Linked DNA regions of Styela clava. The protein of the gene in region 2 purifies or fractionates together with the protein of the main gene of each other region. This does not show direct contact. Links are inferred from orthologs where the notes say so. Each region holds a gene or a part of one and is shown on either strand. Other genes may lie near its edges. The genes, in order: vesicle-associated membrane protein 4-like, syntaxin-6-like, vesicle transport through interaction with t-SNAREs homolog 1A-like and vesicle-fusing ATPase-like.

Region 1 (7,466 bases), on a different chromosome or scaffold from region 2:
TCTTCAACTTGCTGACTTGATAATTTAGCTATTTCTGCCGATACTTGTTTGAATTCACCTGTAAAATGTGTATATTAAACAACTTTGCTAGTTGAGTACGTCGAGAGCCCTAAACTGAATTAGAATGATCATTGACAAAAATATGGTAAGCAACTAATGAATAGAGCTACGAATAGATGTATTATTCATTTGGTTATGCTATATTGCCTATATAATACTTTGAAGTGATGCACATTGTTAACTGTCAATGACGCAATAACTCTTTAAGCTGTGCAAAAACAGGAGTGCTACTTGTGAATAACTTTAGTAAAGTATCTATTAAAGATTAAACAAAAGAAGCAATAGATAACGAAGAAGGAATAATAAGTTCCAAAATTCCAGGAGGAGTTTTAAAAAAGGTTGCGAACCACTGGATTAAGATTTTTGTTAGAAACCAGATTGTTTGGTATTCTCAGTTTGTGATTAGAAGAGGATTAATGTAAAAATGCAACATTTAGTAGCAGGCTTTATGAAAATTTGATTTCAAAATTAACAAAAAAAATGGGAAATTACCTTTCAAACGTTTCCCGAGAATCATGTGATCAGGTTGTGCGCGAAGACTAACTTCATATTTGTCTTTATCGGAAGAAGTCGTGATCTTGCGTACATTCAATTCCTCGGAAACATATCGCTCCAAACTAGCAACATCATCCAGATATTCTTTGCTTTTGTGGATGATGACAACCTCAGGCAAAGGGTACTGTAAGAAATTAAATTTCATATAAGCTAACATGAAAATAATTGTACTGGAAAGAGATCTGCAGTTAAATCATGCCTAACAAACAATAAACTATTAGCATAGCTTGACTTGACTTGACTGGATGAAAGCACGGGTCGCACCTTTATATAGGCTTTCTAGTAGTTGCTTGCACAAAAATTTTGGTTATTGATCCTATGACATGCGTTGTTCACTTCGCACAAGCTAGCTGTTAGGACATTATGACGCAGACAGTAAATTAGATAATAATGAGTAAGATAATAGTAGTGGAGAATAATGCATAGATAATAAATTAGAGTAGACTAGAGTATAGGCTTTGCAACACAAAGGGATTGGAATCCCTCGCATGCACCAGATTAAACCAAATCAAAAATTTATCCGCGGGCCACACAATTTTTTCTTGTGGGCCACAATCGGCCAGCAGGCTGCAGGTTGTGTATACCATTGAGGCTGGCATCAGTAACATGCTTACAGAAAAATAACAATACAAAATAAGACTATTTGCACAAACTTGCAGTGACATGTGAAATGAAATGTTTGCCTGCAGTTGACGACGACAAAATTTAAAACCAAGTTTGATTTGTTAACAGAGAATGATTATTTTAAATGGCCGTCTGAAAAAGGACTGAATCTTCATAGTTTTTCCTTCAGAATGACAAAAGAACGAAGAATCGTATGCAGTCGAAATCAGTTAATACCTTGATTGGCATTGTATTTCTATCTCTGATTATTCTTCCTAATTCAATAACAGTTTGCATCCTTGAAACTGCTCTCTCAATTTCCACATTAATCAGTTTCTCACTAAAATTGAGAAAATAAAATATAAATAATTTACAATGAATATATAAAACTATAAACGCTGGTCTTATAACATAGATAAAGCATATCAGTAATTCTAAAGAATATTTGGATTACTGTATTTGCATTATCTATGATTGCCTGCGTTTCGTGGAAATTTATGAATAGTCAGAAACAAAATGAATATAATTTCAGTTATCGCTGGCTATAATTAACAATACAAATCAGTAATTTCTATGTTGTTGTCTATTTGGTTGTATTAAAATGAGATTGTATGAAGAAGGATCATGATGGAAATTCCTAGAGTGAAAATAAGGCAACCATATACAGTGGTCACAATTGATGAATCACAATTTCTCCAATGGTTTATGAAAAGAGTAAATTAAGTTCTTGAATATCTTACTTCGCATCTGGGAACATCAAATAATGGATACTTTCAGCATTTTCTTTAGATTTCAAAACTTTCTTGAGATTTTGATACATATGCTCAGTAAGGAACGGAGTAAATGGACTCTGAAAAAAAAAGGATTACAGACTGCATAATAGATGTATTTTTGTTATCATGTGACATTTTTTGTGCGGCTTATTTACAAGCCTTTTGCTCCAAACAAGGAAGTAAAGTCATTAACAACTAGTACATATTCACTCGCTAAAATCCAAGGCCACCCACCCAAATAGGCCACCCAAGCCCCCCCCCCGAAGCCGTGCCTTGCAATAAAACACATAAAAAAAATCATTTATAGTAAAATGGCAGCTGATCTGCATTTTGATTAAAGATAGAGTTTTGGAATCATAAAAACTTACCATTTCTCTAATCATTGTGTACAGAACACTATAAAGTGTTTGCAATGCTTTTTGACAATCTTCAGGTCCACCGTCACCCTGAAACATTCAAAGAGTCAAGTGAATTGTCAGCTATAACTTGCTCTTTGACCTGATATTATATAAACAAGATTAGAAGAAGCTCTATAATAATATAAAAAGTTAATTAGACAACTTCAAATCAATATAAAAAGGATTGTTTATCATTTAAATAGAGAATAAAAAAGCATAGAAAAAGAATTGTAATAAGGATAGGATTTCATATTTATACCAGGGAGAGAAGAACGACAAAAAGGTTTACCTCTCGTCCGGTTACCAGTCCATGTCAGGTATGGGATTTGTTAGCCAGATATTTTGTTTTTGAAAAAATGGAATTGATGGTGGAAGTAGCCATAAGCCCCATGTAACATTGATTAAGAAATAAACTCAAGAAAAATTTCCATTTTAAAAGCCATTTTATAGTCAACACACTTTAAAATATGTATTTATAATAATATATACGTTAATAATATAAGTTACATTCGCTGATTCAAAGTTGCATCATCCAAAACTGATAAAAGAATTTCCATAAAAGGCGACCTAGTCATAGGTAAACATATTCTATCACAGAAAACTACTTGTTTTTGAAGTTTGGCAATGAAATTCACCTGGAGCTCAAACAAGGTTCTATTTGTAATCCATTCTGGTTATTTCCTACAATGTTTACTTATCTGATAATATTATCAAAGGTTACTTTGAGAATTTGGAGTGTTTTATACAGAGTAAATAGTAATATTAGGATTTTTATTGGCATTGCTATCCAAAAAATTGGATTTTCTTAATATTAAATGTCACCCTTCTTTTGATAAATCGAATAAATCAAAATGAAATTTAATTCCAGACGTAAAAGCATATAAGATTGAAAATCTAGACAAACAAATAGTGATTTATCACTGCACCCATTAGGGTAAACATGCTGTAGTATACCAGAATAAGCGGTGTGAGTAGTAATGGCGTATTAAAATAGATATATGTTGATTAAACCTTCAACAAAATCTCAGATTTTATTAAAAATCGACAACCTATTTTAAAAGTAAAATAATTCTCTGTAATAGTAAAACTACAATATTAGAATGCAAAAAATGCTATTTTATTGAGGCACAATGTTATCTTCCAATAACGTTATAAAACTTATTCAATTACAGTGCATAAAATAGAGATAAACGTGTTTAACTAAAATTTAAACACACATATTCCCAATAAATATCATGGACATCCACAAATTTAACTAAAACAAGCAAATATAAAAACCTTCAATCTTTTCCTGTTTGATCTGACGTACCAGTTTGTCAATAAATCCACAAATTTGACCAATCGAGGAACGACAGTATACAAGTGGTATGCTGCAAAGTAAAATATCCAATTCACCAAATAAGATAGTCTTAATGAAAATCAATTATTGAGAAGCGCAAGTCGCTGTGTTATGAAAATAAAGTAGCACTGCACAATGAGACCCACATGGCTTCATTATCATGCAATGTCATTTGCACAGCATACATCATGGTTGTCAATTGCAATATATTTTAAAATCTCGTTCGTTTATGTTGATACAGTAGCAATGCTCAAGATAAAATCCTAAAATATTATGCAAATGATTTTCTCTAAGGATTCAACTTCAAAATGTTTTGACAAATATGCAATAGAAGTCCATGTTTATTTGATCATGAAGAGATATGTTCGATAAAAAAAATTGAAACATTTTGATAAAGAAAATTTTGGAATTTTGGCCAAACTATTGGCAATTCAGATTTAGCTTGCACACACAATTTACATGGATACGATGATAGGCTAAAGTTTCAACTGCGATTGAGATATCACACCTTTCATTTCCTTTTTCACATACAGTACAAGTGATTGTATTGATGACAGAATCCATTTGTCCATTATGTTGTCTGAACTTCCAAGATCATCTTCTTTGTATTTGAATTCAATGCCTTCTTCCTTTTGAAGCCTTAAAACAAGTGCAACTTCATTTTATTGAAATAAGCAATGGATGAAATTTGCATTATAATTTTGAACAAATAGGAGTGAATATGACATTGGAGTATTTGGTTGTATTAAGGTATAAAAATAGGATCGCTTTAAAATGACTACGGCTGCTTCTCATTAATATAAGACATGATGGAAATGCTAACACATTCCCAATTAAACCAGAAGAGTGATTAAAATTTAATAAACTGAAATTTTTGTTTCTACAAATTGAAATTTGAATTGGTCCAAAACTTACCTTATTACGTTCTGCACAAAAAATCTGTATGCATTGTACCAAGGTAGAAAAACATCTTTCAAAATATCTCGTACACCATTTTCCTAAAAATAAAAAGAAACATTTATATTGCAAAAAATATTCCCTATTTATAACAAATAAAAAACAAGCAATACAGTACCTGAAATCTCAAATTCTCGGCACGAACCACAGGTGAATTGATCAAATATAATCGGAGAGCATCTGCACCATATGCATGTACAACTTTGATTGGATCAGGATAGTTTTTCTTCCTTTTGCTCATTTTCTGACCATCGCTGAGATTAAGTATTAACAACATTGAATTATGAACAACATGAATAAATCAAAAATGGTATTAACAATATCGATGCCATACCTGGCAAGAACGAGTCCATTGACAATTAGATTTTGAAATGGAGGTTTCCCAAACAAAGCAGTGGATAATACCAGCAAGGTATAAAACCATCCTCTTGTTTGATCAATTCCTTCAGCAATGAAATGAGCTGGAAAACTGTCTTCAAATTCTTTCTTGTTCTAAAGACATAAAAATTATGAATAATTACCACAACTGGTTTGCCATAGAATATTTTTTATGCTTGGGAAATTTGGATAACTCTCATTGCTGTGTGACCAGACCACTAACAATGATTCCAATGCAGGTTAATAGTGAAGCAATAATAATAGGCCTAAAAGGAAACAAAAATTAAGGTATAATCCATGCTAAATTCCAAATCAAGAAAGTCTTGGCAGTTGGAATGCATCATAGATTGAGACATAAGAAACCAAAAACTTGAAACAATTGAAATGAAATTTACGCAATTGCTTGACTTGTGAATATGACTGAGCATTTTGAATCAAATATTTGAACAATAATTTTTTTTAAATGGTTCAGATCAAACTTTCGAATGATCGCCATCTTTTTTCTAGTCTTCCGTTCAAGGTCAAGAATCTTTCCATTTTTTTATTGCAACCATATTCTTAAAATGCAATCTTGTCGTATGACATTTTTTCTACTAGTGAGATATTGATAAAATCTGTTTCTTATTGTGGGTGACAACTCAGCAATTTGTCTAAGTAATAGATTCTATGTTTTCAGTAATTTATGTGTATGAAGGACATATGGCGATAAAAAAGTTAATACATACAGTTACCCTTTTCCAAGTATTCGAGATTCGATTAGATTGAGTAAAATTTTTTGATTCAATTCAGAAATCATCAGGTATTCGAAAATACCCACCTCATATGTTGTATTTATTAAATGCATGCATATATTATTAAGCTTTTCCTTGCCCAGTCCAGTGAATCAAGTTCCAGGACAGAATCTTAAGGCATTGAGGAAACAGAACTTTAAGGCATTGAGGAAAAATAATAGCATACCTCAAATGGATAATGCATTTGAGCATAAGGCATAGATCCACTTTCAAACCAGCAATCAAATACTTCGGATATACGACGTAAAACTCCTTTTCCAAGGCGTGATGGTATAGTGATGCCATCAACACTAAAGAGAAATAGCAAAGCATGAAGTTGGAAAATTGACAGACAATAAGAAACAGAAGATTGACAGTAGTTAAAAACAGAAACAAAAGGATTATCCGCTAAAAAAAATAAAGGCTCTCTAAAAAGCAAAAAATTTGTGAATTTTCATGTATATACATAATGTTGAACTTGTCAAATAATTATAAACGAATGATGAAGATCAGATAATGATTAACAAAAGAAGCAAGATTTCAAAAGCTTGAACTAAATTATAAGTAAATTATGACACAGATAAATGTTAATATGCTAAATGCAGGGGGCATAGCCATTTCAGAACCGAAGTTTCAAATTCAAAATCGGAGATTCGCCTGCAATGGCTTCTGAAACCACCTATTAAAAGAGGTGATTCTTCTGAGAATACTGATTTTTCTGTTGCATAAAATATGCAATCCCTGTCCAATAGAAGCATTAAGAATGCCTTGCCATATTAATTAATTATGTTCAACTCACGACTCGTTGACATACGACAAAATAAAAACATCATTACTCTAAAATACCTTTCTCTATGAAGATCAGTGACTTTGACCCCAGATAATTGTTCCAATTCCTCTATGGACCCGATGCAAACGATTTCTTCGAAATCCTCGCTGACCCACAATGGTATTGGAGTACCCCAATATCTATTACGAGAAACGGCCCAGTCATGAGCATCCCGAAGCCAGTTTGCAAAACGTTTTTCTTTGACAAAATTAGGAACCCTGAAATGGAGAGAAAATTATAATGTGAAATTAAATAGCTGAAAGTGACATATTATTTTTCTTATGTATCGCATTTCTGAGTAGTGAGAGTGGTCGGCCTAAGCTATGTTGGTGTCACAGGTCAAAAATTTCTGGTTCAATCTCAGAAGCTGACTTCGCTACCCGTGTTGTAATTGGATTAGCAATGGAATCGACTGGAAAGATTTCAATTCATCAAAAATGGTAGATAATTATGTTGTACGATGCCTATGTTGCAGGTTAGCAATGGACTGAAAGGCTCCAATCCATCAAAATCAGTATCTAATTACGTAGTCACTGGCCTTCGAAGAGAAGGTATGAAAACACCTCATAAAATGACCATGGTTCGCATAATTTTTTCTTCCACCATTCGGTCAATGCATCCACAACAATTAGCTACTTCCACCTAGTCTTGTAACTAGAAAAACTGATAACTTGTCATAAGAGTATGTCGTCTGGCACCTTTTTTCTTCGAGCTAACCAAGATAACCAATAAATATTTCAATAATACTCACAAAATAAAAAAAACTTCACTTTGCATCACATTTCATTGGCAATTCATGATAAT
Region 2 (7,967 bases):
TTGACAAAGTAATGAATATATCTCTATGTTATGCTGATTAGGGTCTGACGAAACGTTCCAGAAATATATTTGTGTTAGTCTGCAGCAAGACTCTTGAATCACTTGGAATTTTTAATTTATTTGCTTTTATCAATCATTTTGTTGTCTGTTATGCTAATTGTGGAGTCGAAATAAACTTATATGATGCTCCATAATATAATATGATTACATTCTCAATTACCGGTAAGCGGTTGTTATGTATCATTTAATTAACTGTTAGTGTGATAAATATTTATTCTGGATTACAGTATTGTAATTGTCTCATCTTTGTCAAAAGTTCTTTATTAAATCATATTTGCTTTAATCCGCATATGTATATTCTTGTACTATTGTATATTATTTTTTTATAGTGTTAAAATGATTCTTATTCGAAGGCTCGATCAGAATTAAGTATCTTTTTCTTTAATCCAAGAACCTGTGTCAATTTATGTATTTATTCATGTGTTGTATTGGGTGGTTACTGACTCAGATGACCGTAAATGGTCGTATCGTTACCTCCCAGTCTTGCCGAAAACTTTTGTTCCACTTATTTCGTTATTATTATATTTTAAATTATGTGTTTTCTGGTTGACGAAATAATGAATTTTCTCTCTCACTATCTATTTATATTCATTATAGAATGGTCACACTTGAGTGATCACGGCAGAGCGAAGAAAGCTACTCAAGACTTCTTCTACGGCGAACAATTTCTTGTTTGTTTTATTATAATCATATGTTCGGGTTTTTTTCTTGGTTATCCTGTAGTTGTTTCCCGAAACATATTTATTTCATGTTTGTGGTCAGGTTTGGTTTGTGATTATATTACCGTAAATTAATGAAATCATGGTACTGGTATGAATTTTGTATTTATTTGGATTTGTACGCTACTCTTGATATATATTGGGGGAATGGGATTTAAATTGAGAAAACAAAAACAAAAAACATGGAAACAAAAAATTATGGATTTAAATTAAAATAGACTAAAATGATTCGATTCCAAAATAATAATACGAAAATTTCGTTTGGCATTGGAATTTAATTGGCAAAAATAAAAATAAATGATTGTGGCCAGGACTACCGGTACCGTAGTTTACTATCATATTGAGTCAGTGTGTTCTGTTTTCTTTTAGGCGAATAAAAATGCAACGTAAACCGTACCGGTACGGAACAGTATTACCGTATCGGTACCGGTATAAGAGTTCTAGGTACCGCCGTAACGGTAATCAGTAGAAACACTTGCACCGGTACCGGTACTGACTTATGGTTTAGGATAGAATTTACATATTTATTCCGGGGGAGAGGAAAGTCTAAGATGAGGCGGCTTAATCATATGGCGGACCACGGCCTCTCGTCTGTTTACCAGTCTAGGTCGTGTACCGGTATGGGAGTAGTCAGCATGGACTTGATGGTGGAGGAAGCCGTACGGTATGGTACCGGTACCGTAACCGACCAGCGGTTATGTGAACCACCCTACGGCAGCGAGGAGTCCAATCCTATCGCACATGATCATTTCCGCATGGGATGGCGCGGCGGTGTGGCTCAACGGGCTAAGCGTTAGGAATACGCTCGCCACCGCACCTCTAATTACTCTGCGTGGGTTCGCAGGTTCGAATCCCATGCAGGGATGGTTATGTGCGAGAGGATTGCTGGACTCCTCGCCGTCGTTGGGTGGTTCACGTACCGGTAACCGCTGGTCGGATACGGCTTCCTCCACCACCAAGTCCATGCTTCCGAAAACAAACAATACAGTAAAACTAATCCCATACCCGACTTGGAATGGTAACCGGACGAGAGGCCGTGGTTCGCCATATGGATAAGCCGTCTTATCGGCTTTCCTCTCCCCCGGGATAAATATGTAAATCCTATCCTATCCTATTCGAACCTGCCATCCCACGAAGGGGGATCAGAGATGCGGTAGCGAGCGTATTCCTAATGCATCGCACGATGCAGCGATGTGCCACACCGCCGAGCTACGTTTTAAAGGGAGAGATAGTTTATAACCAAATACTTAATATCTGCCGAGGTGTCTTAAGATCTATTTGTCATTCTTACTCCAGCATCTAACTTACCGGTATGTGTTCTTATGTCATACAGTCTTGCAGTCATATTATGTTTGTATGTCAGGGTGGTCTGTTGGCCCAAACTGCGGCCTGCAGAACAATTCTATCGTGCACTGAACCATTGCTGCATTGGCAGATATTTGTATTTATTGGCAGAACATTTTTTGATTATTTTTAATCACGGAATTTCAATGTTGTATCTATAAATGTCAAGACGTTGCCTATATGAGAATGAATTGTCTTGTGCAGACAGGACCAAGCCGATGAGATGAGTCGTGCTTTTTGTCTAAACTTCGTGCTTTAAGCTCGCGTCAAGTACCGTAAAAGCGCCTAACTTCGGACAAAAATTTTGAACGGCCATATCTTGGCTAAAACGCGACGTATATTGCTAATTTTAATTATTATAGGTTGCGCTGTTATATCTACATCTATTCTCAACTTTTTTAATGTTGCATAAATATTTTTTTGGTAAAAAACGGAAATTTTGCCGAAAATTGACTGCCCGGCATTCAAGGGCGCAGAGCGTCGCTCCTACTGAAGCTATCATCGTCAAAATACCATCATTCGGTAGAGGGCGACAACAATGTATATAATTTATTTGAGTGATCGCAAGATGTCGTACGAGATTTAAATAAAACCTAAAATTCTGAATTATAAATTCCGTAAGAATATTAAGATTTCACGCAGCGTCAAAAATTACGTCAACCTCACGTAGATTACTTTTCGCTCACTTCCGACACGACGTCACACTGCGTCGCGGAAATCAATTTTGACGCCAGACACAACGGAGCCAATATGACAATTTCCGTTAAGATAAAGACGGCGTTCCAATGTAATATTTTTGTATTTTGTTCGGTCATGTATGAATATATGCCAAAATTACATTAATGAAAATACATGTCACACTTAATCGATGACGTTAAAAATCGAATATATAAAACTATGATAATTCCAACGTCCATATGGCACAGTGCACTGACTTAACCATTATTTTATGATGAGTAGTCGAAATGACAGTCATTGAATACGGCCTGGGTGAATTTTATTCACTCGAAATTAAAAATAAATTTAATCTCCAACAAATAAACGGGACCTACATGTTTACAAGATTAAGTTGAATTTTAAATTAAACTTCACAATCGGATTTACCGTGTGTTTGATATAAAATTATCATTTATAAAGATAACCGCGCAGAATAACAAAAAGCTATCCGTCGAGAATATTAATACTTCAAAGACTCCGATAGAAGCCCGTTAGAATACTTCATTGTGGATTGAAACGGTTTGCATCAGATATATTTACGCATGCATTTCCTGATTAAAATGACTAACGTGTTATTATACTCATCTGAAGTATCAAAAATAACGAACGAAAGATGTAAACATAGGACGACGGAAGTTTCAAATAATGCATTTTCGTCGTGACGTCAATATTACGTTACGACGACGATCGAGCGTCTTATCTTCACGCAACGACGTGATTACGTCATCCGCATCGGAAGCCTCTTTCTCTCTGTGCGTCGCGGTTACGCAGTGAAGAAAATGACTGTCCGAAGTTAGGGCAGTGAAGGATAACGGTCAGATGGCAAGAAATATCGATTATTTCAATAGTAAAAATAGTCCAATTGAACCGAAATTTGCAGGGAATGTAAATTACCGCACGAATGTTTTTCCGAGCAATTTTGGCACCGTTTGGACAATAAATGGCCGAGTTAATGAAGAAAATATAGCAATTTTGTCCGAAGTTAGGCGCTTTTACGGTACGGTACCGGTAACTCCTCATTTGGATAATATAAAATCTTTTCTCGGCCTCTGTTTCTAATTGTTGGTCATGTGACAGCAGTGACGAACCACAGAGCTGACTTAGCGCCACACGATCCAGTTTTTTTATCTGAGTCCGAGTCCCAACAATTTATCATACCATGTGTAACAGAAAGGTGACACAGGTAAACTGATGGGAAACATATTTTCTTACCCACAACAATGCTAAACCACAGTGTCTGGTGTGTTTTCAAGTAATATCCGCCACAAAGAATATCATTTTGGGCGACATTACAGAACCAAACATGAGAAAAGATACAGAAAATAACATTCGGGAAGCAATTTTAAAATAACTGAGGGCTTTATATAGTTTCATTGAAAAACTTGGTGGAACAATAAACTTTCTTTCTTATCATATATATTTGAAGTGAGTAAACTCGCGATGTTGGGATCACTTTTGGGTTTTCTTCGACTGCGGCCCGCGAGACCTCCTCAAAAGTTTTTTCGGCCCTTCAACTTCGCAATCTTGGATACTAATATACACGGTGTTATTTCTAGTTCTGTAGTTTAGGGCAGGAGGCCCCAATTAAAAAATTTTGGGAAACCCTCGTTTGGGGCGATGGTTCTCAACCTTTCTACCCTGTACTCGCGGACCGACAAAAAAATGATATGAATGGAACAGAAAATAATAACATAAATTGCGTAATATAATGCAATACTAGAGCTATGCTTCTAGATAAAAAAAAATGCACACCTAAAAATATTTCACAGAAAACCTATCAATAATGTACCGGCCAAAAATTGAAATGACTGAAACCTAAAAAATAAAACCATATATTTCGTAATAAAATATATTTAGTCACTCAGAACAAAAGCACTGTTGAGTCCTATTGCGACTCATCGGGGCCCCCAGTTTGAACAGTGAAAGAGGGGTAAATTTAACTTTTTTAATTTGCCAATGGGTAAGCAATAGAAGACTGAAAAAATGATATCTTATGCTTGGTATCTTTTTCTCATTTGGCATCCAATTTATTACACCCTCGTTTGCTTTTTTGACCTGAAATTTAGAAACCTTTCTTTAAATTTTTACTACACTTCACAGGTTTTAATTAAGTCTTACTAAAGCAACGTCTAATTTTTAACAACCATAATTTTATTGCTGGATTTTATCACCTAACTGCCAATGGAAATAAAAGAAAGGCAATAAAAAGATTTCCTCAGAGGTGAAAGAAAATAGAGAAGTATACAGACATAAGAAACCATTAGTAAACAGGCAAAATGTCTGTGGAGGACCCATTTTTTGTTGTTAAAAGGTGAGTGTATTAATGCTTAGATTTAGTGCCCATACAGAGCCACAGGGCTACGAGAGAAACCTATTTCACGGGCTATTCATTTACCTATTAAAATACTGAATATTTTTTTAATACAAAGCAGGAAAATAAAGTAAATTTAATTTACTCAGGAACATTAATCGGTGTGGTGTGTTTTTTTCATTTTTATAAATTCATTATGGGGCTCCATAAATAATAGTCAAACTATTTGCGGGTTCCATAACACCAAAAGTTTGAGAACCCCTGCTTTAATGAATAGATAGATTGATGCTACCATGACCTGAACCGTGATACGCCGCAATAATGCAGCGGTAGATCTCTTATTGTAACAGCGTGAGGTGAAACCAGTTGAAAAGTATTTCATTTTTACTAACAGTATTTTGTCACAATGCTCTCAAGCTTGACGCCTGTTTTGATAATTTCTCATTTGGTTGATTGATTACGAAATGTATCCATGGACCATTCGTTGTTATTATTGTTCATGCTGTTGCGGTATGAAACGCCTTATGAACTAATGGTCTGATTGCCTTCAAATTTTCAGTGGCGAGAGATTGTATTTTTCGCTAGAAGGCTATTGCTTTTATTTATTTCAATATATTCTATAAATAAATCTTATGAAATTTCTAAATCTAAATCACCCTAAATCTTGCTGTAGTATTATTATATTCATGGGAATACGGTTTTTAATTTGCTAAGCGTGAAGGCTGTCTTGTGCTTCGATTTCGTAAAATCTTGGTATATTTATCGCTATTATCTCTCTGGATAAGAACCAATCCATACATCGCCTCGGTAAATCCCAAGTATCTTATTCAAAATTTTTCAGCAATGAAATTTTTGACTTTATGTCATTCTGAACCAAGGGCCACCTTTTGGTCTGGCTTTCAAAGCTGTATCTGTCTTAGTTTTGTCTGCAGATCTGATTTCTTGAAGCCTTGAAATTTGTTACGATCTTATGTGGTTTACTGCGGCTAACATTTGGGCAGCTATACGAAGTGTTCTGATATTCGTAGGCTCGATGGTGCAGTACATCGTGCTAAGCATTAGGGAAACGCTCGCCATAGCACTTCTGATTACACTGCCTGCTAGAAATATCGCTGGCCACACCACAGGGTGGTTCAAAGAACTGCTTGTTGGTTACGGCTTCCTCTATCATCAAGTCCGAAAACAAATTACCGACTAACTAATCCCATACCCGACATGGACTGGTAACCGTGAGAGGCCGTGGTTCTTGATAGTATTAAGCCGTCGTTTTCTGCTTTCCTTTCTTGATAAATATGTAAAGTGTATTCTAATTTTACTCATTTTTCAGTGAAGTGGAAAAGTCCGTTGAGAACTGTCGCGTAATGCAAGAAAGATGGAGATCTTTATTGACGGATGGAAGTTTACTCAAGCGTGACCAATACGAAAGAATGACGAACGATCTGCGGAACAATGTTCGATCAATCGAGTGGGACTTGGAAGACTTGGACGAAACAATAGATATCCTTTTATTTGTTTATTTATTTTAGGATTTTTTTCAGGGGGGGTAGAAAATTTGAAAAAAAAATTACTGTATTTTTGAAAATAACACTTTTCATCCAGGCTCTAATGAAGCCTGAAGGCCAGCTATTCTCAAACTTTTATTCAATAAAGCAATACAATATGTATAATATCCAATCATATTCAGTTATTTTAATACAATTCTATTAATTTTCGGAGAGCGCTTAACGAATCGCAGTGTCGGACCAGTGTAGAAAACATTTTAGATGTTACGTGTTGTGTATTTTAATGAAGTAGTGGTCGTGTGCAAGGATGGCCATTACCGAATTATTCACTATTTCGAATAACGTCGAAATTATTATTTTCGAATATGAAATTAAAATAATACGGCAAGGCATTTTAAATGCTGGTATTGTTCATGAATTTGAATATTCGAATATTGACTATCATCATCAAAATTATTTGCCAAAAGCGAGAAAAAGTTTAAATGTTTTTCTCTATTAAATCAACTTTTTTTTTTCGGACTTAGACAATTTATTGGATTTTGTAATTTGTAAACAAGCGTTGTATTCATGCGAGGCCCGTGACTCAATACAAATGAATGCGTAAATTAGAAGCCTTGCAAGAGAATGGCGATAGTGCCAATCTCGCGACCGTGTAAATGTGTCGTAACAATACGAGGCGGCGCTCGCACAGAAGATAACAAACAATCGAAGTGCTGATACTATTTCACCGTCATTGCATTACGCGACAAAGCGCCGAAAATCGTTTGAAGATTTCTCTTTAAAACGAAACACTTCGCTGACGGTGAAAAGTCGCTATTATTCGAAAATCAGTCGGCAAGGTATTCGAATACATACGAATATTCGATTCGTTTTGGAAAACCCTGCTCGTTTATCAGGATTTTAAGACTTCATAGACATTATATAATATAGAATAGATCTGAATGGAAACCTTGGGTGTTGTGAACCTCCTGCAATGTTTATTGAAGATTTAAATAACTGTTATCATTGGCTTTTTAAGCCGGATATACTTTACAGTTTAGCCTGTCTAAGTAAACACGTATGTCGTATTCAAGGGTACTTTGGATTGCTATTTATAAACTCATTTATTGGTGGACGTGTTGAGGGCGTGGCATAAAGTATCTGTTGTTTATTTGTATTATAGTTAGGATTGTACTATATAATATGATATTATGGGTAGTGGTCGCTAGAAAAACAGGAAATCGTCAAACAGAGATTTATTTTTACAAAGAATAACTATAATTATTCCATGTATATCCTTATTATTTTGCTCAATTTTGTCAAATTGAATATTTT
Region 3 (7,438 bases), on a different chromosome or scaffold from region 2:
TAGTTTGAGGGATGTTTCAGAGTTCAAAAATAAAAAATTATACGTTTTTCTCACTTTCTCAAAACAGCTTTTTTAGGTGTCACCCTTTTGTGAGTTTGAAAGCCTTTAACATTGTCCAGAGTATTCACCCAGGATTATCCAACCAAAACTCAATATAAATATTTTTTAAAAACACCAGCCATTCATAATTTTGGTTCCCATTAGATACCAGATGTTGTGCTAATTTCCTACACTTAAAATAAACCAATAGCAACCAATTGGATTTAACGATCAATCTATATTACACAATGATTTGGATATTCTATATCCATGGTGATTGCATTGATAAAATAGTGTAATGTTCCAGTCATTACATGTTTATTACTATCAGGATATTCATTGAAATTTGTAAAAAATAAAGATATTTTAAAACTAAGATGCCCAACATTTAAATAAAAATGTCCCTGATCTTATTTATCATGTAAATAGCGTTAATATTCATATTTTTTTTTACAACGTTAATTCTAATTCTAAATAGGGATTTAGGAGATATGTCCAAATCCAAACTGATTATTTGTGAGTCATACAAATATTTGAAAAGAAAATGCAAATAAATTTAATCACCTGGTCATTCGTTGAACCATCATCATATTCTAACAACTCTTCCCTCATTTTTGCGGCATCTTTTGCTGAAGTTTTGTGCTTTTTCTGTAACAATATGTATATGATAAAATAAAGGTTGGAATATATTGGCTGCTGTAATCTGGGATTGCTTCTATAGAGCAGACCGTCTAAACATCAATTATCACACCTTTGCATCAAACATAATCTCAAGATAATAACACAAATATACTTTATTATATTTGTTTGAACTTAATTTCTTGGATTCTTTATTTCAGAAGAATTCATGTACATAATTTATCCATCGATATTGGATGAAATATTCTGTAACAAATTATCAGAATGAAACAGAAAAACTATACAGTACGCTCTTTTTAAACAAAACCGTCAAAATACAAACAGCATGCTAAAGAACACCTTGAAAAATTGGGGATTCGTTGGTAATTTTATTTTATATTGTTTTATTTGTCATTGATACTTTATTACTCAATATATTGAGTTGTGTGATGTTATTTCATCAAAAATCAAAAAAAGTATCATTTGAGAATTATTTAATGAAAGTACAACCAAAAATACAACAAGAGAATAAAATATTTATCGACTATGTCCACTTATGCTATCCATACACTATAATTACTAACCTATCTTCGAAACTGACAAAAAAGAAAATAATATGTATATCAGTGCATGACTGCCATGCTGGGCTCCAACAAACATCAATAATTCAGAAAATCAGTTTTAGGATTTTGACAAATAAAGCATCACACTTTCTCAAAATGCTTATTTTCAGCTAACAAGTCAGGAAGTAGATGGCATTATGAAAAATATTGTTAAATACTTAGGGTTGCCTTTATTGAGCTGCAATATAAATAAAAAATGAATCAGCGTGTGTGTGTGCGTGCGTGTGATGAATCTTGGAAGGGATTAGTACCCACACATTGGTCAGAAAAACTGGTTTAAAATATGCAAACCAATAGCACCCACCAATTGAGATTCCAAATTTGTATATTCTGTTTGATAACTTTTCACACGGCTCATTAGTTTTCCTCTTTCAGCACTGGGCATATCTCGAACTTCTAAATCCATTTGTTCCAACTGGCAAAAAATAATATTGACTTTGAGACAATTGACAAAAACAAAACACTTTCTTAAAAGTATTCCGAAGAATTCAATATTTCTTACATCGAATTAAAAAATCAAATAGACGTTGGCAGTCCGCGAGGGAATGAACTCATATGGTGATTATTAAAACCACAAAAGCAAAAATGACAATTGGGACAGATGATTTTGATACGATCCAGCATTACTTTTAAATGAGAATTGATAAAATTTGTCCGAGCAGAATGAGCCTTGATCGAAATGGGGTTAAAGATCACATTTGAAACTTAATTTTAAGCCCTGTATCTTTCCTGCTATTTCTCACATAGATTTGTTGAAAATTAATATGATATCAATCTTTTAAAAGAAATCAATTACATAAGTCATACTTCATTCCTACAGTCTGACAGTAGACCAAAGCTAATCAAGATGCAATCAAAATTCACTTAAATATATCAACATTATTTTTGTAGAAGAGAAACTGTACTTGTTACACTATGCCTCCACGTGCCTAAGTCTGCATCGTAGAAAATGCAAATATTCTTACCAATTCCTGGGCTTCATCAAGTTGTCTTTCTATTGAGCTTATCACAGTCTTTTTGTCAACTGAAATGAATAATGAGGGCAAAAATATAATTCAGGAAATGAATTATTCTACTTTATTCAGTCCTAAACTTTAACGATATTAGACTACAGTTGCATAGAAAATAATAGGCATCGCAAAAACGACTAACTTCGGATATCTTGCAACTTTGAAACACAAATGAAATTTTCAATCGTTTATATCATGGCTAAATTGTGTCGTATTGTGCTTCTGGCAGATTCTATGGTATCTCTGAATCTGTTATCTTATTCAATCGCACAGTCTTATTTACTTTTTGACTAAAAAGATCACATTTTAGCAAAAAAATGACACATCGTTTTCGTTCGACCAGAATCGTGACTTCTACCAAAGCTAAAAACCCAATACAGCATTATTTGATAGCGCTGGTAAATATTATATCACATACCCCCATATAATGAAGATACAGAGCCCAATCTTCTTGTTATTTCAGCAGTTAATGATGAAAACTGTTGCTCATACGATTCAAAAATCGCAGCCATGTTGGATGTCCGCTTGCTTCACAACAGCACAATGCAGCTGACGGAAACAGCAATGTACAGATGTAAGAAATGTATCACGGTATCTGTACCGGTTGTTACCTTGTTTCAGTATTCTGGTATTTGACTTTCAAGTTGCAATAAAATGAATATGGTAACATAAGCCTAATTTCAAACGCCTAAATACCAAACATGTTGTAACATTATTCATAATAAAAGTACAAGAGAGCTATGCTCAAATATATGGACACGTAGAGTCACATAATTTCGATGACGTCATAGCGAAAAAAGAAGTAATAGACTTCTGGAGAAAATTTTTATCTTTAACCACTAAAAATTTCAAAGCAATTGGTCCAGTATTCGAAGAGAAAAGCGACTTTTTAAAAACGTGTCAAGCGGTACTGAGTTAGCAGTCAGGCAGCATCTTACCTGTACACTGTAGGCCATATACGGTAATTGATCACAGAACAGTTGTTCCCTTGCAAATTTTATGTTGTTTACACTTTAGGACAGATAATTGATCACAGAACAATTCTTCCCTTTCAAATTTTATGTTGTTTCCAGTAGACTCTCATCAAAATAAACAAATATAGTAGGCTACAAGTGCTACAACGCTTGCATCACTGCACTGGTAGGACCGTGAAAGAATAAGTTACGGTACGGTAATTTCATTGTGGTAAGACACCGGTACCGGCACCAGTACCAGTACCGAACCTGTAGGTCTGATATTCCGTTCCGCATACGATAGGCTATAAAACTTGCATTGCAGCATTAGTAATACCGCGGAAGGCGGCGGTGTGGCTCAACGGGCTAAGCGTTAGGAATACGCTCGCCACCGCACCTCTAATCACTCTGCGTGGGTTCGCAGGTTCGAATCCCATGCAGGGATGGTTATGTGCGAGAGGATTGCTGGACTCCTCGCCGTCGTTGGGTGGTTCACGTAACCGCTGGTCGGTTACGGCTTCCTCCACCACCAAGTCCATGCTTCCGAAAAACAAACAATACAGTAAAAACTAATCCCATACCCGACTTGGAATCCAGTCTGGATTTCATGGCCTTTTTGAACGAGAAATCGGGCGTGCAATCAGAAATTCCCGCGTGCAAATAAGAATTCCTGGCGTGCAATTATAGCTCACGACGTGCAAAACAACTGCACTCGCGTGCAACTGACTTTGACATCAGATACCTCTCAATACATCCGCGTAAAACTACCGGTATCGGATAAAAAATACGTTGAATCAGAGAAAAAATGGACGTTTGACCTTTGACCCCAAACATTATTCCTACAGTTTGTCGCTAATTTTGAGAGTGTTTGTGCGACTTTGGATACCGGTACTGTTCAGTACATCCGCGTAAAATTATTAGATAAAAAATACGTTGAACCAGAGCAAAATGGATATACTTTGTCATTAATTTTGGTAGTGTTTTTACGTAGAATTAATGGATAAAAAATACGTCAAATTAGAGCAAAATGGACGTTTGACCTTTGACCCCAAACATTATTTTCATACTTTGTCACTAATTTTGGGAGTGTTTGAGCAACTTTAGATACCGGTACTGTTCAGTACATTCGTGTAAAATTATTGTATGAAAAATACGCTGAATCAGAGCCGTACTTGGCCATTGGTGCGGAAGTGATCTTTTCGTCCATAACTATTCGCACGGGATTCCTATTTCCTATCATTCAACACGATATGGACCTTTCCCCGTGCATCGACTTCCTTGTTTACTTCGTGACATTGGCCAATCAGCAAGATGCAAAAAAGGACGTAACAATGAGAGGAATTTTTCGCGGGTCAAAGGTTGGGAAAAGGTCCATGGTCTTTTTGCTTCGCAATATTTCGATCAGACCAAATCTTGCAGGCTGGTATTTGTCGACAATTGTGGAGTTATAATATTTTGGCATCTTTATATTACTGGATTATTGATTTTAAAACCATTTAAACCGATTTACATTGGTGAGCAATTGCAAATTTTCGGCGTGCAAAATTGATTTCGCTCGCGTGCATTTTTGCGGAGCGCTAGCGCCCTCGGGCGTGCACCTGCCATGGAATCCAGTCTGGCTTGGAATGGTAACCGGACGAGAGGCCGTGGTTCGCCATATGGATAAGCCGTCTTATCGGCTTTCCTCTCCCCCGGGATAAATATGTAAATCCTATCCTATCCTATCCTAAGGAATAAGTCAATTTCACTGCGTTACGGCACCGGTATGGCAACTTACCAGTACCGACCTACAGTAGCTGTAGTACTGAGCAAGACAATCGATCGCGAAACCGCTTGAAATAAGTGTAAAACAGTGTTCCCATGAGTAAAAATAAATACCGCGAAATTTTGTATGAAATATCATATCTCATAGGATTCATATAAAATTTAAGAATAAACAAAAGTAATAGCCTTCTAGCGAAAAAATTAATCTTCAACCACTGAAAATTTCAAAGCAATTGGTCCAGTATTCGAAGAGAAAAGCGACTTTTTAAAAACGTGTCAAAGAACAAGAACAAGAACAACAACAAGAACAAGAACAAGAACAACAACAACATAATATTGAAACGATCGTTATGTCCACTACGTGTCCAATAATACAAGTTTATTTCGCCTCCATTATCAGCATAACAATAAAATGATTAAAAATGATTAATAAAAACAAATTACACAGACCCGTTCAGATATGGTATCAGATAAAGAAAAGATATACGACATACGAGCTCAACACTGTTAACCCGTAATTACTTTACTCTATAGTACCACCATGTGACGACGTGAGATTAATTAAACCAGAAGCGAATCATTATATGGGAGGCCCAACGACTAACGGGGAGGCCAGATAAATTTTATTTTCGTCGTGCATTAAATATTAAATGTATAAATATTCTCATTAGAGAGAGCGGGGGAGTTTATTTTGTTTTGTTCATCAAAGTACAAATACACAACAAAAAAATATAAGTCAATTGATAGCAAAAACTTCTCGGTACTCAGACTGGTAAATAAAATGTCAGACCAATGATCAGACTAACTACACACTTGGTCAAGTGTGGTATGAACCGAATTTGATAGCTGCTGGCTCGCAGAACATCGTGGAATTTGAAGTTTTTGAAGAGTCTTGAATCCTTTCTAATCTGTTACTTCGAGTTCGATCCAAAACAATTGGTCGCTTTCTCCTTTGTTGTCTTGGAGGTTAGTTTCATCGCGATTAAAAAATTTGCTGGTGGTATTCGGTTAACTATGTCTTTCATTTCTGAATAATATGATTGAATATCTTAACGTACAACTTGTACTATATTAAATGCGTGTTCTACAGAAGTTATCGATCCACCAGGTTTGTTGTCCGGAAATGAAGAACTTATTTCTCTTCTATCCAAATAATTTTTTACAATATTCCTCGTGTTTTTAGAACCGATCGGAAAAACCCAACGAGCAATAATTTGAATACATGAAGCAAATCGGGCCCATTCTTTTTTGGTAAATTCCCTCGGATGACCAATCTTCTTAGGGTTAAGATTTTTCATCTAGTATGAAGTTGATTTATTGACCCAATGGAGTCATTTTGCGTACGACATCCATTTTCGAGTCTTCTGAATTACTGCTACTTTGTTCAGGAGTTGTTGAAAATCGTGATACGGTACATTTTTGGCGACATTATTAAAGTTGAAAACAATGCTAGAATAGAAATTGACATGAGCATGAATACGTCACATTTTAGTTGATATATGCCAGCTTAAATTTTTTGTCCGAAGTTAAAAACTTCGACGGTATTACGCTGTACTGTTTTATTTTTCCATAGTGGTATTTTGACAATGCTTTTTTTGCGTTGATTATCTATTACATCCCGGACAACAATACTTGTTTCCCATAAACTGGAAACAACTTCCACCGCATACAACCTGTGAAGATGGCCGTTTGCGGCCAGCCTCCACTAGGTGGCAGATAGCGGTTAACAAATCCTCAAAAAATTACACTTGGTTACATTATTAAATAAGGGATAGAATAATTTCGTAACTATTATGGTGATGCTGCAAAACTTCGAAACAACTTCCACCGCAAACAACCTCTGAAGACAACCGCTTGTTGTAAACCCCCACTAGGTGGCAGAGAGTGATTAACAAATCGTCGGGAATTATATTAATAAACAAAGGAAGCTTGACGTCTTGTTGTTATGCATTGTCTCTGGTTTAATAGACTTGATTATTTTTGTACCACTGTTTCAACACTCCTGTACGATACCGCACCTTACTTGGTTACAGTACGGTATGGATGGGAAGAAAGTGAAGGTATTTCTCAATCTCTGTGTTTGCGATAATGAAGAAGATGCCGACCTCAAAATCAGGGTTGAAAATGCACGGCAAGAATTTCTCCGTTGTTTACCAAGTATAATAAATCTAACTTTGGTAACTGAAAGTGTTGAAGAAATTGTACAAAGATGTATCCAACTATATTCATGTCTTTCACAGAAATTGGTAGCACAAAGAAAATATAAAGATGGTGCAAACTGTCTAGCCATAGAATTTGAAGCAACTTTACAAATATGCTCTGTAACTCTAACTTTGATGGATTATAATGTTTCACCCAGAGCTAGTCTTACATTATTGATAAAGCATTTTAAAGGTTCAGCATTGGATTGTCTAAAGTTTTTAAAAAAGCT
Region 4 (7,277 bases), on a different chromosome or scaffold from region 2:
TTTGGCCGCAACTTTGCTTGGAGATGAGTCACCTTTGATTCTGAGTGAGTGAACATAACTTTGCTTAGAGATAAGTCTCGTTCACTTTTAACCCTCTATAGCAGCGGTTCGCAACCGGGGGCCCTCGGCCCCCTATGGGGCCACGGAGGAGTTGGAGGGGGGCCACAAGGATGGGCTGAAATCTGAATTTACTTTTCACTTTAAAAGAAATCTCTTAGTTTTTCCTAGTTTGCTGCTCAACAAGGTTATTTCGCAGGGTGTTTTCGTTCTCTTTTGTGCAAATTGTTTTAACATAATGGGATTTGGAATCTATCAATGAAAATAACCCTATTAATACCTCTGGAATATTAAAGTGGGGGCCATGAGTGCTAAAAGCCTCCGAAAGGGGGCCACGAATCATAAAAGGTTGAGAACCACTGCTCTATAGATTTGTAGGTTTCAGTTATCATAGAGATAAAGATCATATGCAATATTATTTAGGCTCTCCATTTTCTACTGTTGTCAGAAATTAATTACAGGTCTTTTGGTTTTACCAAGATACTTTTATTGCTCAAAATGAAATATTTCCAAATAAAGTTTTCAAACTTATTCTAAAAATTAGGAACTAAATATATCTGTTATAAATTTCAAATAATCGTATTGTATTCGAACAATTTTTCAAATGTGATATACCTGATTATTAGTAAATAATTTTGAAAATATTTTAGTTGGTAAAAAAGATGTAACACTATAATTGAAAAAATATTCGTATATTCGATTCATTCTGGATAACCAAAGTATTCAAATTTTCTGCATGCGTGATATAATTATGTATCAGCAAATATATTTTATAAAATTTCAGAGGGGCAGAGATGGAGTAACATTATATTTGAAAAAAATCATGTACGTTTAGTATATTTGATTCTTTTCGGACCCCCAAAGTATTCAAATTTATTTAGCATGCATGATATACCTGGATATAAAGGAATATTTTTTAAAAAATTTTAGGGGGTAGAAAAGATGTAACACTATATTTGTAAAAAAAATCATGTACATTTAGTATATTCGATTCCTTTCGGACCCCTAGAGTATTCAAATTTTTTTCGAATGTGTGATATCACTAGGTATCTGCAAATAAATTTTATAAAATTTTTCAGGGGTAACACTATAATTAAAAAAAAAATCATGTCAGTTCGACTCACCTGAAAAATTCCACCATGGTGATCATTGGCAGCAGTTTTAATATCTTTAACCGAAATTGCGTAATGTATGCCGGCAAAACTGAACAGCAACGTTTCACCAAGAACAAACCACCGAAGCGCGAAGTCATGCTTGAGTTGTTCTACCATGTGATCTGTGTTGACTGGATCATCTGAAAGAAATTGATGTTGGAATAAGACTGCCTGTCCACTGACAGAGTAGGCTAGGCTATAATTTTCACAAAACTAATGTCTTCCCAACATACCGTATATAAGCAGACCTCCTAAAAATGACCCCAAAACGGTGAATTTATAAAAATTTGCATATAAGCGGATCCTACAAATCGTACGCTTTTATTGTGAGGACTTTCATAGTTCGAGTTGTTGAAATTAAGTTAGCATGATGTCATTTTGTTTGAGTGCGATCAGAGTTTGACAGCTTAGTTTTGAAATTGGATTATATACGGTGAATATTTGACGGGCAAAACCCCAATTTCGGATATCAAATAAGTTGTGAAGCGCTGGGTAACGCAGAATACACCATAAAATTATCATCGACCAATGAGAGGCGATTGCTGACTTTCGCTGTGCACCCAAACTGAAGAGCAACACAATCCAAAACCATGCAGTACTCAAATAGATTCTCCAGACTGTTAAACTTACTTGTGACTTCTCTTGATTTATAAAAATCCACTTCAAGGATGGTTTCAACTATTTCATCCTGCTTTGTGGGGAAGAATTTTTCAACCTGTCATAAGAAATGAAATTTAGCATTTCTTAGGTGGTGTTTTTTACACTGAACAAGGCTATGTAATAGCATCTACTGATACATCAAATTTGGATACTATTCTCAGAGAGATGGACACCACTCTGGTTCGTCATTGGCTGCCCAATTCATTACATCTAGGGTGGCGAGGTCGTGGGGAAGCCCCTCAAGTAAAAAACGAGAATATCGGTCAGAGACCGAAGACTTATCGATCGAAAGTTAGGGGATCCTCAAAACAGCGCTCTTATTCCATAGTGACACCTTGTGCTTCATTCGAGTGAAAACTACTATCTTTTTTTAAAGATCATAAGAACCTAAATGTTGTTTGGAAGAGGCCATGATCATGAAAGTTTGATAGCAAGTAGCACCTCCCACTTGTTTATAATAAAGGCATGAACAAATTTTACAATAAATCAAATTGGTTATTAATATTGGGTCTAGTGTAGTACTTCCAGTGCGCTTGTCAATATTTGTTATTCCTATTTGGGGTTATTCCTTACTCCCACCTGACTACGCCATCTATGAATTGCGCGACTACGGCCTCACAATCATGTAACATAGCTTGCCAATATGAGCCGCCGATAAGAAATTCACAACGCCAGTGATCTCTCTCATATTGGGATCGCTAAGACGAGAAAAATAGCTTGCTGACTTAGGGTAATGGTCTGTGCGTTTGGGACGACTATGCATGTATTTTTGCGGGCCTTATTATGTCACTGTTACATCATAGTGACATGATTTTTGGATGACGTAGACGAAATTTAACCATCACGAAAAATATAATCATAAATACCTGAACTTCTTGGTTAATCCCAACGTAGGCCCATTTTCTTTGAATCATTGAAAATCCAATATATTTATCCTGTACTTGACGATCAGGGAGGCAAGTGAAATCGTACACCTGACCTCGATTACAAAACCTGATGTATTTATATCCATTTTGAAAATCCTGCGGACTCACGATGACTTTGTTTTTTAACGAAAGATCATTACTAGGACATTTTGTGACTCTGAAAGCTTCTGTGGACATTTTTACTATAATTTATTATGTAATATTTTTTTGATGAGCCTTGAATGAAAGAAAATAATAATTCAATACTTAATAAGAACAAAGTCTGTTCATACCAGACATCAGCACTTCGTAAACTGTTAGTTTGTGTGCGCGGAACTATTCGGGGAAAAAAAATCACGATGTACTTACACCAAAAAAAATTGCTGCCTCAAAATAGAACTCAATTTTGTGATCATTGATGTGTACTTTATTTATGCTTTTTCAAGTTTGTAAACATGTAGGCCTAAAGAGTAAAGGCAATTCTGCATTTCTGCCTGATTTTCCTTTGAAATACTGAAAATAACATGCATGTTCGTTAAACTTGGTAACGCAAATAAATAAACTGTAGCAGGTAGTGTCTACCAAAATTTCCAAATTCCAAGAATGTCCCATCATTTGGTCTAATAAAACAAACACTCCCATGTCTCTCCCAAACAAGGGGTGTCTGGCACGACATCAGATGCATCATATTGCGCGATGCTTGTCTCAATAATAATCTAAATCGTGGCTGTCACATGACCAAAATTGTCGTTTTTAGCTAAAATCTCTCAAATGCCATGGTAGAAATTTTTTTCCTCCAATAAATTAGATTATTTTTTCCAGAGGAATTCAATGATGACGTTTTTAGATAGCGCTTCTTTGTAGTTTTTTATACAACTTCATTTTACTGTATTTTTACCGATATTGAGGAACAACAATGGCCAGACGTCCCCGAAAGGAGGGGTGTTTGTTCATTGGCAAAATGGAATTCTCTAAAATGAGACAATGCCTCTCGATCTGTATAGTGTGCCGTACTGTACCGTACTCACTGTTATAATTGATGTCTTTCAATGTGGAGCCTATGTTTGGAATCTACTGGCTATGTTTGGAATCTGTTCTGACTATCTACTAACACAGGTATAAAAAAGAGAGAATTCTAAAAAGAAGAAAAACTACTAACAGCCTACAATTTAAATCTCAAAAGCCCACTCATAAAATACCGGTACAGTTCTAGGTATTCTTTGCAATCTTAACTAATAAAAACTAACAACCACGTCAATAATTCTCGGGATAAAATATGAGATTCCCATTCATCAATAATAAAAACTACAACGCCATATGCTGTTACTGTCTTACGATCAATATCACGCAAAGCGAGTTTTATTGAGTTGTCCTTTCACTACAACTTGATTATGCGTTTTGTTATCTTTCTGTCATTTGAATCCTGTTTTTATCTTCGGTTTTATCATTCACTTTTTTGCGGCGAATTATTCTAACGCCAAACGGAACTTTCGTATTGAGATTTTAAAATCTAATTGTCGCAATACATACAGTACGGTAGTTTTTTGATTCCACGTTTTGTTGTTTAAATTTAAATGCCATTCCCACGATTATTTATTTTACCTCATACGTTTCGAATGTAGATAATGTACCCGCTGCGAGGTACAGTGAAATATGTTCCCGAATGTACCGGTAAACGCACGCACAATGCCGGAAAACTGGCAACATATTTATCGAGCCAGCACATCAAAAACACAGCGACGAAAATGACGTTTTTGCTCAGGCGTGACCACGGGTCACGGGAGCGTAACTTGAATTCATATAACTGTCCGTCCTTACTAGGGATGGGCGAGTCCGGCATTAGAGAGATTCGACGAATCCGAGTAATCAATCAATCAATCAATTCAGTAATAGGTCAAGGACTCGAATCGAATCCTCCGAGTCCGTGACGTCACAATGTAAAAGTAGAAAAACACTATTTTGACAATACTACAGCATCGCGCGCTCACAAACATACGACGTGGCTCATATTTTTTGTCTAATGGTTCCTCAGGTAGCTGTTGAATCAATTTAAAAATATATTTTTCGTTTTTTTTTTTTGCTGCCATATTACAAGCGTAAACATGGGTCAATGTGCGCCTTAGCTGTGAACTGGATTTCCAGCCCACCACCTTGCGTCAATTCTGGGTGGCTATTCAGAAATTCTTACATGTCGATATGAAAAAATAATAAGCTTTTGATAACAATGCTTTCCCATAGTTCCGGATATTTCTAGCTGTAAATTTACTATGCCACGTGCGCAAATGGTAGAGAAATGCCACTCAACGTCAATGCAATGTTGTACATCTGCTTGTAATTTAGTAGTTCATGTAAACGTTCTAAAACTCTCCATGCTTTCCATTGCTCCCTTTTTAGAGAAAGGATTGTACGTAATGAACTCGATTTAAAAGAGGTAATGATGAGATTCCCCATTGGGTTCATCCAAAGCATGTTTCATTCTTACGCGAATCGAAAACTCAAAAATATTGCGCTAACTAACACATATTTTTTTGTGTACCACGTGTATGCCAAAAAGGATAGATAGTTTGAAGACGACTCGCGCATCATTGTTATAAGCTATCAATATTTTTTAACTTGCGTTATATTATCTGGATATCTGTCATCGTCTTTATTAGGAGTGTTTATAATACACATGAGGGATATTGTTACAGATCTAACCTTGAATTTTAACTAGTTAAGGTATGTAGTGAGATTTATAGAGGCAAAAGTACAAATATAGTAAATTAGTAAAAACAATTGATTATAGACTCGGTAAAAATGACGTCTACTCGAAATCGAATCAGAGTCCAAAAAATACCTGGATTTGACTCAAATCCGAATCCCGGCTCATCCCTAGTCCTCACTGGTGGGTTAGTAACAATAATTCAATCGACCCTTGAAATTCTTTCCAAAGCTCATAATTGTAAGTTTATTTTGATTTCATCGCAAAAACGTACAAAATACAATGACACGAAAGCTTGAGAATAATACGTGTAGAAACACACGTGCCAGTTTACCCCTATCATACACACACAACACAAACATATACAAAAGACGAATGATAAAAGCAGTGTATCCTTCGGGCGTCGTAGCTTCATGTGGAAGCCTTCAGGACAATCAAGTTCATACATGTATCTGAAACGAGAGGCTATCAGGATCGACCATATGAAAATCCTATTCTAAACCACCATTTATAATATCTGAAGGAACGATGCAAGCCTGTCTATTTCATAATTTTTAATATTTTCCGAAGGAATTCCTCCATAGTTAAAATATATTCCCCTTTGGAGAGGAAAACTTATAGGCTATTTTGTAGTTTCGTTAATATTGACTAGTCAGTAGTTTATTTTATCACAAACGTACACATTGAGCAAACCTAATTGAGAAAAATAAAAAAAATACATTTCAGTGTGAAAGGAGACGCGATAAACCAGTGATGGTTAACGAGCGGCGTCACCCAACAGATAATTATTAGAAATGTACAACATGTCTATGAGTGCAGGTTATGCATATCACCAGTCGGGCTGGGCCTTTCGAATTCAATAGCAAATTATTCGATTTAAAGAATATTTTAACCCGTCTCCCATCTTGTTCTTTTTATTCACCCCTAAATTTTTTTATTGAACCCATATTTTCAAAATGGAATTCTGACATATGACTCTCTCTCTCTCTCCAAAAAGTGTTTCTTATTTTATGTGAACTCAGCAAACTGTCTGAGTGATGGATTCTACGTTTTCAGTAATTTATGTGACTGGAGGACCCATAGACATCACAGTGAAAAAGTCATGTGCAACTACATATCTTTCAAGCCTCAATTCTGAAATCATCAAGTATTCGAAAACGCCCGGCCCTAATCGACAGATAATGACAGCTAACGGAAACATGAATATTGTGTGTATTGAGGGGGGAATAGAGATTTTTGAAATCAGTACCGGGAGAAATTTACAAAAAAAAAACGTTTGAAACCACTGCCTTGTTTTGTTTGCTTTTCTGACTTCCATAATCATGATTCTATCAATCATGCATCACATAAATCATCGACATAAACTCCAGTCCTTACAAAAAAGCAGTGCCTCTTACTCTCTTCAATGTATGTATGCTTTCATTTATTTGATTTTGGTTGACAAAACAATCAACCTGTCAGTATTCAACAGACCAGAAGGCACATTTGCAAAACAATTTTAGGTTGAAGTTTTGTCTACACACTGGGCTACAAGACGAAAAGTTTTTTAAAGGGTATCTGGTTCATAAGCCCACAAAAAATGGTTATTATTAAAACGACGGACCGGTGATGATTTTTAGTGTCGGCAATTAAGTATAAAGCACTTTCTGACCCATTAATACATAACGTAGGTGGTTCACATCGGTTAGGGCTTCCTCCACCATAAAGTCCATTCTTCCGAAAAACAAATAACTGGCTAACTTATCCCACACCCGACCTGGACTGGTAACCGGACGAGAGGCCGTGGTTTGCCATATGATT

The links.
Region 1: the proteins of syntaxin-6-like (region 2) and vesicle-associated membrane protein 4-like purify together in Homo sapiens (co-immunoprecipitation; 5 studies listed by BioGRID and IntAct, counting the BioPlex papers as one, with this or other methods). This does not show direct contact. The link is inferred for Styela clava from reciprocal best matches to the Homo sapiens genes STX6 and VAMP4.
Region 3: the proteins of syntaxin-6-like (region 2) and vesicle transport through interaction with t-SNAREs homolog 1A-like purify together in Homo sapiens (affinity purification with mass spectrometry; 3 studies listed by BioGRID and IntAct, counting the BioPlex papers as one, with this or other methods). This does not show direct contact. The link is inferred for Styela clava from reciprocal best matches to the Homo sapiens genes STX6 and VTI1A.
Region 4: the proteins of syntaxin-6-like (region 2) and vesicle-fusing ATPase-like purify together in Homo sapiens (affinity purification with mass spectrometry; 3 studies listed by BioGRID and IntAct, with this or other methods). This does not show direct contact. The link is inferred for Styela clava from reciprocal best matches to the Homo sapiens genes STX6 and NSF.

The regions. Positions count from the first base shown.
Region 1 is NC_135258.1:11,720,319-11,727,784, forward strand, and holds the start of vesicle-associated membrane protein 4-like, read left to right. Parts: upstream 1-4,466; 5' UTR 4,467-4,478; intron 4,479-4,643; coding exon of another isoform or gene 4,644-4,726; intron 4,727-4,803; coding exon of another isoform or gene 4,804-4,939; intron 4,940-5,019; coding exon of another isoform or gene 5,020-5,177; intron 5,178-6,020; coding exon of another isoform or gene 6,021-6,144; intron 6,145-6,679; coding exon of another isoform or gene 6,680-6,880; intron 6,881-7,466. Other genes in the region: isoleucine--tRNA ligase, cytoplasmic-like, read right to left, coding at 1-58, 553-739, 1,456-1,558, 1,959-2,068, 2,360-2,437, 3,668-3,759, 4,237-4,367, 4,644-4,726 and 4 more. UniProt on the Homo sapiens protein: Involved in the pathway that functions to remove an inhibitor (probably synaptotagmin-4) of calcium-triggered exocytosis during the maturation of secretory granules.
Region 2 is NC_135254.1:1,680,368-1,688,334, reverse strand, and holds the start of syntaxin-6-like, read left to right. Parts: upstream 1-4,944; 5' UTR 4,945-5,116; coding exon 5,117-5,151; intron 5,152-6,478; coding exon 6,479-6,648; intron 6,649-7,967. UniProt on the Homo sapiens protein: SNARE promoting movement of transport vesicles to target membranes. Targets endosomes to the trans-Golgi network, and may therefore function in retrograde trafficking.
Region 3 is NC_135260.1:9,561,215-9,568,652, forward strand, and holds the start of vesicle transport through interaction with t-SNAREs homolog 1A-like, read right to left. Parts: upstream 3,008-7,438; 5' UTR 2,803-3,007; coding exon 2,709-2,802; intron 2,305-2,708; coding exon 2,246-2,304; intron 1,696-2,245; coding exon 1,585-1,695; intron 688-1,584; coding exon 604-687; intron 1-603. UniProt on the Homo sapiens protein: V-SNARE that mediates vesicle transport pathways through interactions with t-SNAREs on the target membrane. These interactions are proposed to mediate aspects of the specificity of vesicle trafficking and to promote fusion of the lipid bilayers.
Region 4 is NC_135262.1:1,425,558-1,432,834, forward strand, and holds the start of vesicle-fusing ATPase-like, read right to left. Parts: upstream 3,011-7,277; 5' UTR 2,975-3,010; coding exon 2,738-2,974; intron 1,927-2,737; coding exon 1,842-1,926; intron 1,352-1,841; coding exon 1,182-1,351; intron 1-1,181.